Macaca mulatta: one gene and its partner. Each later gene encodes a partner of the first gene's protein in a complex. Links are inferred from orthologs where the notes say so. Each region holds a gene or a part of one and is shown on either strand. Other genes may lie near its edges.

The links.
Region 2: the proteins of SCN7A (region 1) and SCN3B are in contact, whole or in part, in a cryo-EM structure (PDB 7TJ9), measured with the Homo sapiens proteins. The link is inferred for Macaca mulatta from reciprocal best matches to the Homo sapiens genes SCN7A and SCN3B. Residues at the interface, in NP_002967.2 of Homo sapiens: Arg269, Glu293, Tyr296, Leu298, Glu299, Leu305, Gln315, Cys316, Pro317, Glu318, Gly319, Tyr320, Asn922, Ile923, Thr926, Cys927, Lys929, Ile930, Phe939, Ile956, Tyr957, Asp959, Gln960, Ile966, Tyr970, Met973, Ile974, Tyr977, Ile978, Leu981; in NP_001035241.1 of Homo sapiens: Val25, Cys26, Val27, Glu28, Val29, Arg44, Ile46, Lys50, Arg51, Glu52, Glu53, Val54, Asn95, Gly96, Ser97, Asp99, Gln101, Asp102, Phe126, Phe128, Ala130, His131, Pro133, Val135, Thr154, Ser155, Ser158, Glu159, Met162, Leu165.

Annotation. Positions count from the first base shown.
Region 1 is NC_133417.1:71,396,907-71,402,883, forward strand, and holds part of SCN7A (sodium channel protein type 7 subunit alpha), read right to left. Parts: intron 5,140-5,977; coding exon 4,901-5,139; intron 3,822-4,900; coding exon 3,648-3,821; intron 1,602-3,647; coding exon 1,245-1,601; intron 1-1,244. UniProt on the Homo sapiens protein: Sodium leak channel functioning as an osmosensor regulating sodium ion levels in various tissues and organs. While most sodium channels are voltage-gated, SCN7A is not and lets sodium flow through membrane along its concentration gradient.
Region 2 is NC_133419.1:124,253,133-124,259,109, forward strand, and holds part of SCN3B (sodium channel subunit beta-3 precursor), read right to left. Parts: coding exon 5,883-5,977; intron 1,449-5,882; coding exon 1,310-1,448; intron 1-1,309. UniProt on the Homo sapiens protein: Regulatory subunit of multiple voltage-gated sodium (Nav) channels directly mediating the depolarization of excitable membranes.

The sequences.
Region 1 (5,977 bases):
TGGTTTTCAATCTTGACTACACAATTTAATCAACTGAAGATTTTCAAAAAATCCTGATGACTAGGTCATATCCACATACCAATAAAATCAGAATCTCTAAGAATGTATTCTAGGCATCAGCATAGTTTTATTAATTCCCCAGGTAATTCCAATGCCAGGAAAAGACTGACAGCAGTGTTACATTTAAGTGCTTCTTAAAATTTAATGGGCACACAAATCACCTGGGAACAGTGTTACACTGTAGATTATGATTGCATAGGTCTGGGGTCTGGGAGTCTGCATGTCTAACCACCTTCCAGGTGATGCCAATATTACATTGAGTAACAAGGTTAGAAGCTAGTGCTATCCAATGGAAATATGATGCAATCACATATGCAATTTTAAATTTGCAGTGGCCACATAGAAAACACAGAAAAACAGGCAAATTAATTTTACTAATACATTTTATTTAACAAATATATTTAGTTAAATACAATATACAATTTGTATACAATAAATACAAACATATTTGTATTTAACTAAATATATATTTAACTAAATACCAATAAATAAAGGGAGACTATTGCATTTGTATTTAACTAACAGTATTTGTATTTAGTTAAATACAAATACAGTAGTCCCCCTTTATCCAGGGCAGATAAATCCCAAGACCCCCAGTGGATGCCAGATGCAGAGGATGGTACCAAACCTCATGCATACTACATGATCTGACAGCCCAGACAGCTACTAAAGGACCGATAGGTAGCGTATACAGCATGAATATGCTAGACAAAGGAATGTTTCATGCCCAGAGCAGGACAGAGTGGTATGGCAGGAGATTCCATTACACTACCCAGAATGGCATGCAATTTAAAACTTATGAGTTTTATATTTCTGGAATTTTCCACTGGATGTTTTCAGACAATGGTTGACCACAGGCAACTAAAACCACATACAGTGCAACTGAGCATAAGGACGACCTACTGTATTATCATTTAAAAATGCATTCAACATAAAAATCATTAATGAAATAGTTCACATCACTTTTTGTGTAAGACTTCAAATCTGGTGCATATTTTACATTTACAATACATTTCAAATGAGACTAATCATATATCAGTTGATAATGGCCACATCTGGCTAGTGGGTTACTCTATTGGACTACCACAGTTACAAACCATTAGATCCCATCAATGTACATCATGAAAATACCAAACTACATTATGCCAGTTTTCAAGGAAAATGTAAAAGAACTGACTACTCACCAGTAAATTTCCAATTAAAATGACCATCAGGTAAAAAGGAATACACCAGGATTGGCCTGCAACCTCCATACAGTCCCACAAGGTCTCTACCCACTCTCCACAGAGAATTCGGAACACGTTCAGGTAGGAGTGGAAAAAGTCATGCATGTGCCAGCGTGGGAGTTGACAGTTTTGGTCTATGTGGCAAACAAATTCTTCATAATTCTGACCAAACAGCCTCATGCCGAATGCAGCAGAAAAGAACATGAATATGAACAACAACAGGACCAAGTCTCTCAGGGTCACCCATGCATTACTAAGAGACCGCATCAAAATCTGGAATGTTGGCCAATACTTCCCCAACTTGAAAATTCTCAACTAATAGAGCAATGTAAAATCAAGAACAAGAAACAAAGGATGAAAAACCTGGTCAGTGTATCAGCGTTATACACATATACATATATAGCGTTTAGAGTTTTAAGCATTATTAATATTAACTACTGAACATTCATTTTATGTAAAATTCTTAATACATCTTAAATATTTGATAATTTTGTATACTCAGTCTAAATATATCCTCTTCTACTGATGTATTTGTCAATTCCCATTAAGCATTATACTGTTACAATTCCTCTAGCTTTATATTTTCATAACTATTAGGGGAAGTATTCATTCTTTGTTTTTGCTTTTCACAACATATTGAATATTTTTCCACATTTTTCCCATATGTTGACATGAAAATGATATTGAAAGTCTTCCAGGATCCACTGGATTCTGATGAAGGTACTATCATGTATTTCCCTTTTAAAATAACATGTCAGGCCGGGCGCGGTGGCTCAAGCCTGTAATCCCAGGAGGCCGAGACGGGCGGATCACAAGGTCAGGAGATCGAGACCATCCTGGCTAACACGGCGAAACCCCGTCTCTACTAAAAACACAAAAAATTAGCCGGGCGAGGTGGCGGCGCCTGTGGTCCGAGCTACTCGGGAGGCTGAGGCAGGAGAATGGCGGGAACCCGGGAGGCGGAGCTTGCAGTGAGCTGAGATCCGGCCACTGCACTCCAGCCTGGGCGACAGAGCGAGACTCCGTCTCAAAAAAAAATAAAATAAAATAAAATAAAATAACATGTCAAAGACCAAACACAACATTCTAGGTTTAGTTTGGATAGTCCCCTTCCTTTCACTAGATTTTTAAAAATTTCTGTTTATACAGAACAAGATTACCTTAATATTTTTGGTCACTATATCGCAGTAAACTTACAGTCAACTAGATCTCATACATCATTTTTATACAGGCTATACCTTCCTGACACTTTCTTCTCAATTTTTGTTTGTTTGACAGAGTCTCTCTCTGTCACCCAGACTGGAGTGCAGAAGCACAATCATGGCTCACTGCAGCCTCCAACTCCTGGGCCCAAGTGATCCTCCCACCTTAGCCTCCTGAGTAGCTGAGACTACAGGCATGAACCACCACTGTGACTTTTTTTATTTTTTAGAAGTGGAGTCTCACTATGTTGCCCAGGCTGATTTCAAATTCCTTGCCTCATTTCTTGACTTTTTCTAGTGTTCAGTTGTCTTTCTGGACTCAAGAGTGAGATCTTACATTTGTCTATGAAAAAAATTAATCATCTTAAATTCAGTCCATTACCAGCCTTTAAAATATTTTGATACTATCTTTTAGCACATTTTCTGCAATTGCCAGTGCTGTTTCCATAAATTTGGTGACAACACCCTGTATATATTTCTCTTATTCATTAGCAAATATTATGGATGAGGATTTAAGATAGGATTCTGAATGAGCTGCTCTCTAGGAAGTAACCATTAGAATAAGATCGAACGGACTTAATTGTTCTTAATTCCTGCTACATTCCTTCAACCTGTCACCAGAATGCAACCATGTATAACTTATCGAAAGCTTATTATTTCAATAAACATTATTCTAATAACATTACTCCTTTGTTTAATTTTCTGAGTCTCACCATTACCCTACCTCATAGACATACACTAATTTTTACCTAATAATTATTATGGTAACATTCTGCTGGCCTGACTGGTCTTCCTTTGTACCTGACATTTAGAAATACTCACCTTTATTTCGGCTTCTTGGTGTCATATTAGAATTCTACTTTGGAGACTCCTAATTTTCTTGCTTTCCAAAATGTACTCAGTTACCCTGACCCTGCTTTCTAAAACTGTATCTCAAATTTCCTGCATATATGGCATTATTTCCTTTAACGTTGTGGTCAAATAACAGCATTGGAGACTGCTTACTCTTTCCTTGGCAATAAACTCTTTATATATTAATCAATTCATTTAACACTTCCAATGTCCCAATGGGATAGATATTACTGTAGCCCCATTTTATGTCTGCAGAAACTGAGATAAACTTCGATCAAATAAAAGTTAGGTATTGGATTCTACTTACCATCCTGAATAATCGAAGAAGAGCCATTCCTTCAACATTTGCTAGACAAAGTTCTGTTAAACCATGGAACACTATTACACTATCAAAAATGTTCCAACCTACTTGGAAATACCCATATGGATGCATTGCAATTATTTTAAAAATCATTTCTGCTGTGAAAATTCCAATGAAAACCTAAATGAAAACCAAACACACAGGTGAGAATATGATTCCAAGAGCTGTATCAGAATCTTCACACAAAAACTCTGTAACACACACTGTTTACTTGTCACTGTCACATTCTTCACAGCTTCTCTGTCAAGATCTGGTTAGTTGTGGAGTCTGCATTATAAGGACAGACTCATACATTTTATTCAACAATCTAATGTCAAACATTATATACAGAATCTTTTATTATTTTAATAAAATTCATCCTAGAAGAAAACAAACGAATATTTCAGGGTGAAGACCTTTCAAGTTTGAATGATTATTTTTGAGGTACGGAGCACATGGTATGATATTTAATTTTTCAACCTCTGAAAAAACAGCACGAACCTATGGAAGCTGTCCTTTAAAAACTGTACTGGCAGAAATCACTAAATTGCTGTTTTGGTACCAAATAAATGTATAATTTGAAACTTGTTGCAGTTTGGCTGCTTTTATTAGTACCAAGCAACTAAACAACAACAACAGGGAAAGAAAATACATTTAAACAATATACATTTGCTTGAATGTGAACTATTTTTAAACTCACAGGAATTTGCTTTGTCTTTTGAATTGTATGTGAAAAAGGACAGGTGAATCTCAAAAATACCAGGCTAAAATGATAAGTTCCAATCCTGGGCAAAGATACATGGTTAGAACAGACAGGGCCAACTGCTGCTTTAATCAGAATTAAGAATTCAGGAGTCAGGTGCTTATTATTTCACCTCTGCCCTACTCTGGTCTATGAGCTAATGGTACCAAGAGACTGTATATTTGGGAAGGGAGGGGCAATAAAGAATTTCCATGTAATGTAACTGCCAAGCAGCTGGCTATGAATCCCAAATTTAAACTGGGGAATTTTAAATTCCAGCTGTAAAACTATTCAATGATAAGAACCTTTACAAAGCAGGGGTTGGAGAGATAAAGCACAAACACGAGGCTTCATTCAATAATTATGCATATTGCCACACATTGGAGTTACAGAATAAAATAATGGGAATAATGATGAACAAAGAAAAGTTCAATGATAAGAAACTACAAGTGAAAATAATGTACAATGAGAGTCTTACCAGGTTTCCAATGTTGAGAAGATTGTTAGTTGATTTACTCATTGGATAATGCTCCAAGGCCAGAAAACATATGTTTAAAATTATGCATATGATAAGGAAAAGATCAGTAAATGGTGCCATTACAATCCTATGGACAAATTCTTTCAATTTTGACCAACAGGGAGAACAATTCCATATCAAGAAAGTTGTCGCAAATTTATACCAATATAATGGGCATATCTTTTTGGATTTTTCAAGTTCTGAAATGAAAGAATACAAAAGTTAAACATTCTGGCCAGGTGCAGTGGCTCATGCCTGTTATCCCAGCACTTTGCGAAGCCCAGGTGGGCGAATCACCTAAGGTTAGGAGTTCGAGATCAGCCTGGCCAATATAGCGAAACCTTGTCAATACAAAAAATAGCCGGGTGTGGTGGTGCCTGTAATCCCAGCCACTCAGGAGGCCGAGGTAGGAGAATTGCTTGAACCCGGGAGGCAGAGGTTGCAGTGAGCTGAGATTGTGCCACTGCACTCCAGTCTGGGCAACAGAGTGAGACTCTGCCAAAAGAAGGAAAGAGAGAGAAAGAGAGAGAGAGAGAGAGAAGGGAAACCCTCTCTTGGGCAACCCACTTTCTCAGCATGAGGAAGCTTTCTCTCTCTCTCCTTTCTTTTTTGTCTGTTAAACTTTCTGCTCCTTAACCCACTTCACATGTGTCCATGTCGTTAATCATCTCGGCGTGAGACAACTAACCCCAGCCTTGCATTTGCAGGATGAAGCCGACTTGATCATGGTGGATAAGCATTTTGATGTGCTGCTGGATTCGATAAAAACAAGCAATGGGAAAAGGATTCCGTATTTAATAAATGGTGCTGGGAAAACTGGCTAGCCATGTTCAGAAAACAGAAACTGGACCCCATCCTTCCACCATATACAAAAATTAAATCAAGATGGATTAAAGACTTGAATGTGAAACCTAAAACCATAAAAACCATACAACAAAACCTAGGCAATATGATTCAGGACATAGGCATGGGCAAAGCCTTCATGACTAAACACCAAAAGCAATGGCAACAAAAGCCAAAATTAACAAATGGGATCAC
Region 2 (5,977 bases), on another chromosome or scaffold:
TTAGTGGTTAAGTGTGCTGGCCAAGAATCAGCAGGCCTGAATTCAAACATCGCTTTGTTTCTTAAGTGATGTTTGAATTAAGCAAATGTTTAATATTTCTTAAGCGATATTTCAACATAGTATTGGAAGTTCTGGCTAGGGCACTCAGGCAAGAGAAACAAATAAAGGGTATTCAATTAGGAAAAGATGAAGTCAAATTGTCCCTGTTTGCTGATGACATGATTGCATATTTAGAAAACCCCATCATCTCAGCCCAAAATCTCCTTAAGCAACTTCAGCAAAGTCTCAGGATACAAAATCAATGTGCAAAAATCACATGCATTCTTATACACCAATAACAGACAAACAGAGCCAAATCATGAATGAACTCCCATTCACGATTGCTTCAAAGAGAATAAAATACCTAGCAATCCAACTTACAAGGGATGTGAAGGACCTCTTCAAGGAGAACTACAAACCACTGCTCAGTGAAATAAAAGAGGACACAAACAAATGGAAGAACATTCCATGCTCATGGATAGGAAGAATCAATATCGTGAAAATGGCCATACTGTCCAAAGTAATTTATACATTCAATGCCATCCCCATTAAGCTACCAATGACTTTCTTCACAGAATAGGAAAAAACTACTTTAAGTTCATATGGAACCAAAAAAGAGCCTGCATTGCCAAGACAATCCTAAGTCAAAAGAACAAAGCTGGAGGCATCACGCTACCTGACTTCAAACTATACTACAAGGCTACAGTAACCAAAACAGCATGGTACTGGTACCAAAACAGAGATATAGACCAATGGAACAGAACAGAGTCCTCAGAAATAATACCACACTTCTACAACCATCTGATCTTTGACAAACCTGACAAAAACAAGAAATGGGGAAAGGATTCCCTATTTAATAAATGGTGCTGGGAAAACTGGCTAGCCATAAGTAGAAAGCTGAAACTGGATCCCTTCCTTACTCCTTATACGAAAATTAATTCAAGATGGATTAGAGACTTAAATGTTAGACCTAAAACCATAAAAACCCTAGAAGAAAACCTAGGCAATACCATTCAGGACATAGGCATGGACGATATTTGAATTAAGAGTTTGCCTTACATTTTACAGATGAGAAAAATGAATTTGGGAGAGTTTGCTCCCAAATTCAGTGTTCTCATCTGTAAAATGGGTATAATAATGGTGCCTATCTCTTAAGTAGCGATCAGGAAGAGGGTGGAGGATGAATGTAAACTGCTTAGCACCTCACCTGTGAGAGCAAGCATTCTGAGGGTGCTAGCTTTCATTATTACTTTGGCATCTCTGAACTTACGCGTTTTCTTGGGCTGCCTCTTCGGCTTTTGAGACCTTTCTGTAGCAATATATCATCTCAATGAGCAGCCACAAAGTGAGGAAGACCAGAAGGATGTACATCATGATTTCTGAGACCACAGAGGTGAAGTCCTCTCCGGCTGAAAGAAAGAGAATGAGGCTCAGAATATGCAAGACCAGCAAACCTAGGGCCGTCATTGGAGCCATATTTTAAAATACAGCTTAAATAAAGACTGAGTAAAAAAACTCAAGAAGATGTCAAAGGAATTCCAAATCCTGACTCTCCCACCATTGACTTTCTCACTGGCTGTCGTCGGTTGCTCAGGAGCCAGGGAAGAGGGAGTGGGATGCCTGGAAGAAGCAGCAGAGCAGTGGAAGGAATCTTGGCCTCAAAGTGAGCTATCTAGAGCTGGCTCTCCATTTTGCTATTTACAGGTATGTAAACAACATTTTCCCTTACTTGAGACTCAGTTTCTTAGTTTGTAGGATGAGGATAATAACACCAGTCAGGGGGTTGTGAATATTACATTATCTAATGTATTTCAGAACGTCTTGTGAGATTAAAAGTCTACACAGATGTAAGGAACATGCCTTATTTCAGCTGCCTCTGACTTTTGAGCTGCCGATGGTGGAAGGTGGTATTCCTGGGGAGAGAGCATTGGAAAACTCATTCAGGGCCAACACAGACAGCCTCCATGTGATATGCGCATGTTCTCTACAAGTCTGGGTTAGAAACAAGACCTTCCAGGTCATCCCAAAACCAAACATCAATATTGGAGGATTTAGTGTATCAACCACATTGTCCCCAGGGCTGTACATTTGAAACAGTTAGGATCCTGCCATTTCCCTGCTGAAAACTCTTCAATGCTCCACACTGCCCTCACGATGAAGTCCCAACTCTGTTCACATGACACGCAAGGGCCTTCACAATCCAGGCTTTCTTACCTCATTTCCATTTGGTTGGCCAGAAAAAACTGCTACACACTGTGGTATGTTAGAATCTGTGAACTTTTCTTCCTTTTCCCTCTTCCTGGATTGTGTCTCTCACCTGTGGCTAGTTCTGTGCTAATATCCTCTCCTGCTTTGCAGTCTCCCAGTAGTTCTAGATTCCTATGAGGTCCCACCCTTTGTGAAACCATCCCCAACTTCTCATGCAGAGCTATTCACAACCTTCTCCATGTACTTTTCTTTTCTTTCTTTCTTTTTTTTTTTTTTTTAGATGGAGCTTCTCTCTTATCACCCAGGTTGGAATGCAATGGCATGATCTCGGCTCACTGAAATCTCCCCCTCCAAGGTTCAAGCAATTCTCCTGCCTCAGTCTCCCAAGTAGCTGACATTACGGGCGCCCACCACCACGCCCAGCTAATTTTTTTACTTTTAGTAGAGATGGAGTTTCACCATGTTGGCCAGGCTGGTCTTGAACTCCTGACCTCAGGTGACCCTCCCGCATTGGCCTCCCAAAGTGCTGGGATTATAGGCATGAGCCACTGCGCCCGGCCTCCATGCACTTTTCTCATCCATCTATTATAAGAGTTGTATTGTGTTGATCTTTCTTTTCTGTGGACTGTGTGCTTATTGAGAACATATTTATTTCTGGATTATCTGCCTGCTGTGTAAATCTTAGAATATTTAAAGTGCTCAATAAGTACTTATTGAATGAGTGAAAATAAATATATATATTTTTTGTTTTGTTTTGTTTTTTGAGACGGAGTCTCGCTCTGTCGCCCAGGCTGGAGTGCAGTGGCGCGATCTCGGCTCACTGCAAGCTCCGCCTCCTGGGTTTACGCCATTCTCCTGCCTCAGCCTCCTGAGTAGCTGGGACTACAGGCGCCCGCCACCGCGCCCGGCTAATTTTTTGTATTTTTAGTAGAGACGGGGTTTCACCGTGGTCTCGATCTCCTGACCTTGTGATCCGCCCGCCTCGGCCTCCCAAAGTGCTGGGATTACAGGCGTGAGCCACTGCGCCCGGCTGAAAATAAATATTATCTTATTTGTTTCATGATCAACAAAAAGGAACATGAAAACATACTACATGGCAGATATCCTGATATATCTACTCCTTGCTAGTGGGAGGAATGTTGCAGCTGCCTTTCCCCTTGCCAGCTCTCAACAGCAAGTCAGATTTATGATCTGCAGTTGTCCATTGGATCTAAGTCACCCCCAAATCCTTGGTTGTTAAGAGTACAGCACAGCCTGCCATAACTTTCAGCCCAGAAAGCAGTCCAAAGGCTCCAGGATCATCCAGGTTTTCAGCTGGAGCCAGAGGTTATAGATGCAGTGTGAGGCACGTGAGAATGCCGTACAGCTCAAACGTCTCACTGGCTTGCTACCACCTGGTGCATTATTTATGATTTGTTTGGCTTAAAGCATGCTTTCTCTTTCAAAATGCAGTATCCCACAAATGGCAATACAGGAAGCTGTCCTCAGTATTTTTAGTTACCTCTAGGTGAAGAGGCCTCAGGTTTCTGCCTTAGGGCCAGGAGGTGACAGCCTATGCCAGAATAAACCCAACTTGAACAAAGAGAACCAGGGAGACCTTCTAGGACCACAGGAATGGAGGACATGTGGGGTTGGTGGGCAGGTGTCATGGTGGGGGAGGGGTGCGTAGCTCTGAGCAAGATGAGGGCAGGGAGTATCTGATGTCACAGAGGCAAAAAAGGAAAGAAAAAAGAAAAAGTGGCAGGTGGTGGGGGTGGCGGCGGCGGGAAAAGCAGCCGTGGAAAGAAAGCCCGCAGGATAGGCAAACAATCTGGATTTTCGTCCTGCTTCCAGTGCTAATTTGCTTCATGTCCCTGAGCAAGCCCCTTGCTCTTGCAGAGAACTCTTCTCCCAGCCACAAAATGAGGGGCACCAGAGCTGCGCCCTCCAATCACCTGGGGAGTCATCCAACTCGCATATGACCTCACTCACCCCTGCCGATCTCACACCTGCAAGGGTGCTGCAGAGGTGTCTACATTTGGAGGAAGCCAATGTGGGCAAGTCTGATGTCTGCCCTTTATCCAGAGGCTCTGGATTAAATAAATGATATCCACGCTTCCTTCACACCCGACCATCCACGAGGCTCTGTGGCTCTGATAATAAACTTGTTTTTCCTTCTGTTTTTACCCGAGGCTTGCTCTGGTGCCTGGCAGACGAACTAGCTCAGCCTTGCCACACTTCCCACCAGCTATGCACGAGGGTCTCTGGAGCCAAAAGCCTGAGCGAGCAGAGGTGGAGACAGTTGGACACTGTGCTAGGGTCTGGCAGGCACCAACCGAAAGTTCCAGACGGTGACCAGGAGAGGGCGCCAGGGCCCCACCCCGGGAGGAAAGGCGTGTAACAAACGGGGGCTAAAGGAACTTCAGACAAGGGGAGTACCTTAGAGAGCCCCTGGCCCACCCCTTCATTTCACACCAGAGCAGCGGGGCTCAGAGCAGGGAAGTGACTCATCGGGTCTGAATTTAGGAGCCCTGAGAGTCCTTCTGCGCTTTCAGAATTGACCTACCTTCCATTTTAGTCATATCGTCTGACCCGTTCGTTCATTCACTCTGAGGACTGAAACTTTGCTTCATTATTTTTATCACAACGACATGATAAAAAATGAAAAAACCTGTGGCCTGGAGGTTAGGATTCCTGGATCCTTTTTTCTAAGAAGAGTCCTGTCTTTAACTTGATCTTTTCTTTCATGCCCCACGCTTTGGCCGGCTCACCAGCAGTGATAATGCTGGAGATAGACTGAGAAAGGCTGGAACTCCCCGCTCAGGATGCAGGACTCCAGTTGCAACAGAAATACCTGAGTTAGGCTGCTGAAAGGCCTTCCCACGCACGAACATGGAACTAGCTGTAGGAGTCCAAAGATTTTAAACAAGGCTAGAGAGCTATTGACCTGTCCCCTTCTCCCAGCAGAGAATGAACTATGTAATAAGAGACGCCACAGATGGGGAAGGGGTGGCACGTGTGATTACTGTGAAGCAAGACAAAAGAAGAAAAGATTGTCAAACTTTGGTTTAGAGAGAGGTTCTCAAAGTGCGGTCCCAGCAAGCAGCACAGCCTGCCAGGCAGCGTGTCACGCAATGCAAACGCTCAGGCTCCACCGACAAAAGCAGAAAGGCTGGCTTCCAGAAAGCGCTGCAGGAGATTTTCAGGTTTGCTAATGTTTGAGAACCCCTGGCTTAGAGGCATGTATTGCTCCCATGCAGAAGGAGAGATGACTTCGAGGTAACCTCATGAGATTTCTCTGAGCCCACTGAGTCAGGGATTCAACATAGGCCAGAGAAGAAGGCCTAGCTGAATCAGTAGCTTTAGGCCTCATGGAGGCTAACCTCTTTCTCTAAGGGACCAGGAAGAGCTCATTCTATCATCTCCAAGCCTTTCTGCTTTGAGGAAAGGCACAGAAAGACAAGCTGCTTGGGCGGTTTACAGGAAGCTGGCCACCAGAGGAAGATGGGTCAATGGTGACATTTGTAGATGTCATCATTCCAAATACACAGGTTTTTGCACTCTTTAAGGGCCTCACTCATGTGGAAAACTGCTGTCCTACCCTTCCCTGTCCACAGAGAGCAGAATGCCCTAGAGACCCTGTGCCTCAGCCTCACCCTCCTCGGTGACTCTTAGGGGGATCAGCCGCGTCGTCTTCACAAAGGGCCGATGCGCCTCAAACTCAAACTCCCGGGACACATTGCAGGTGTAG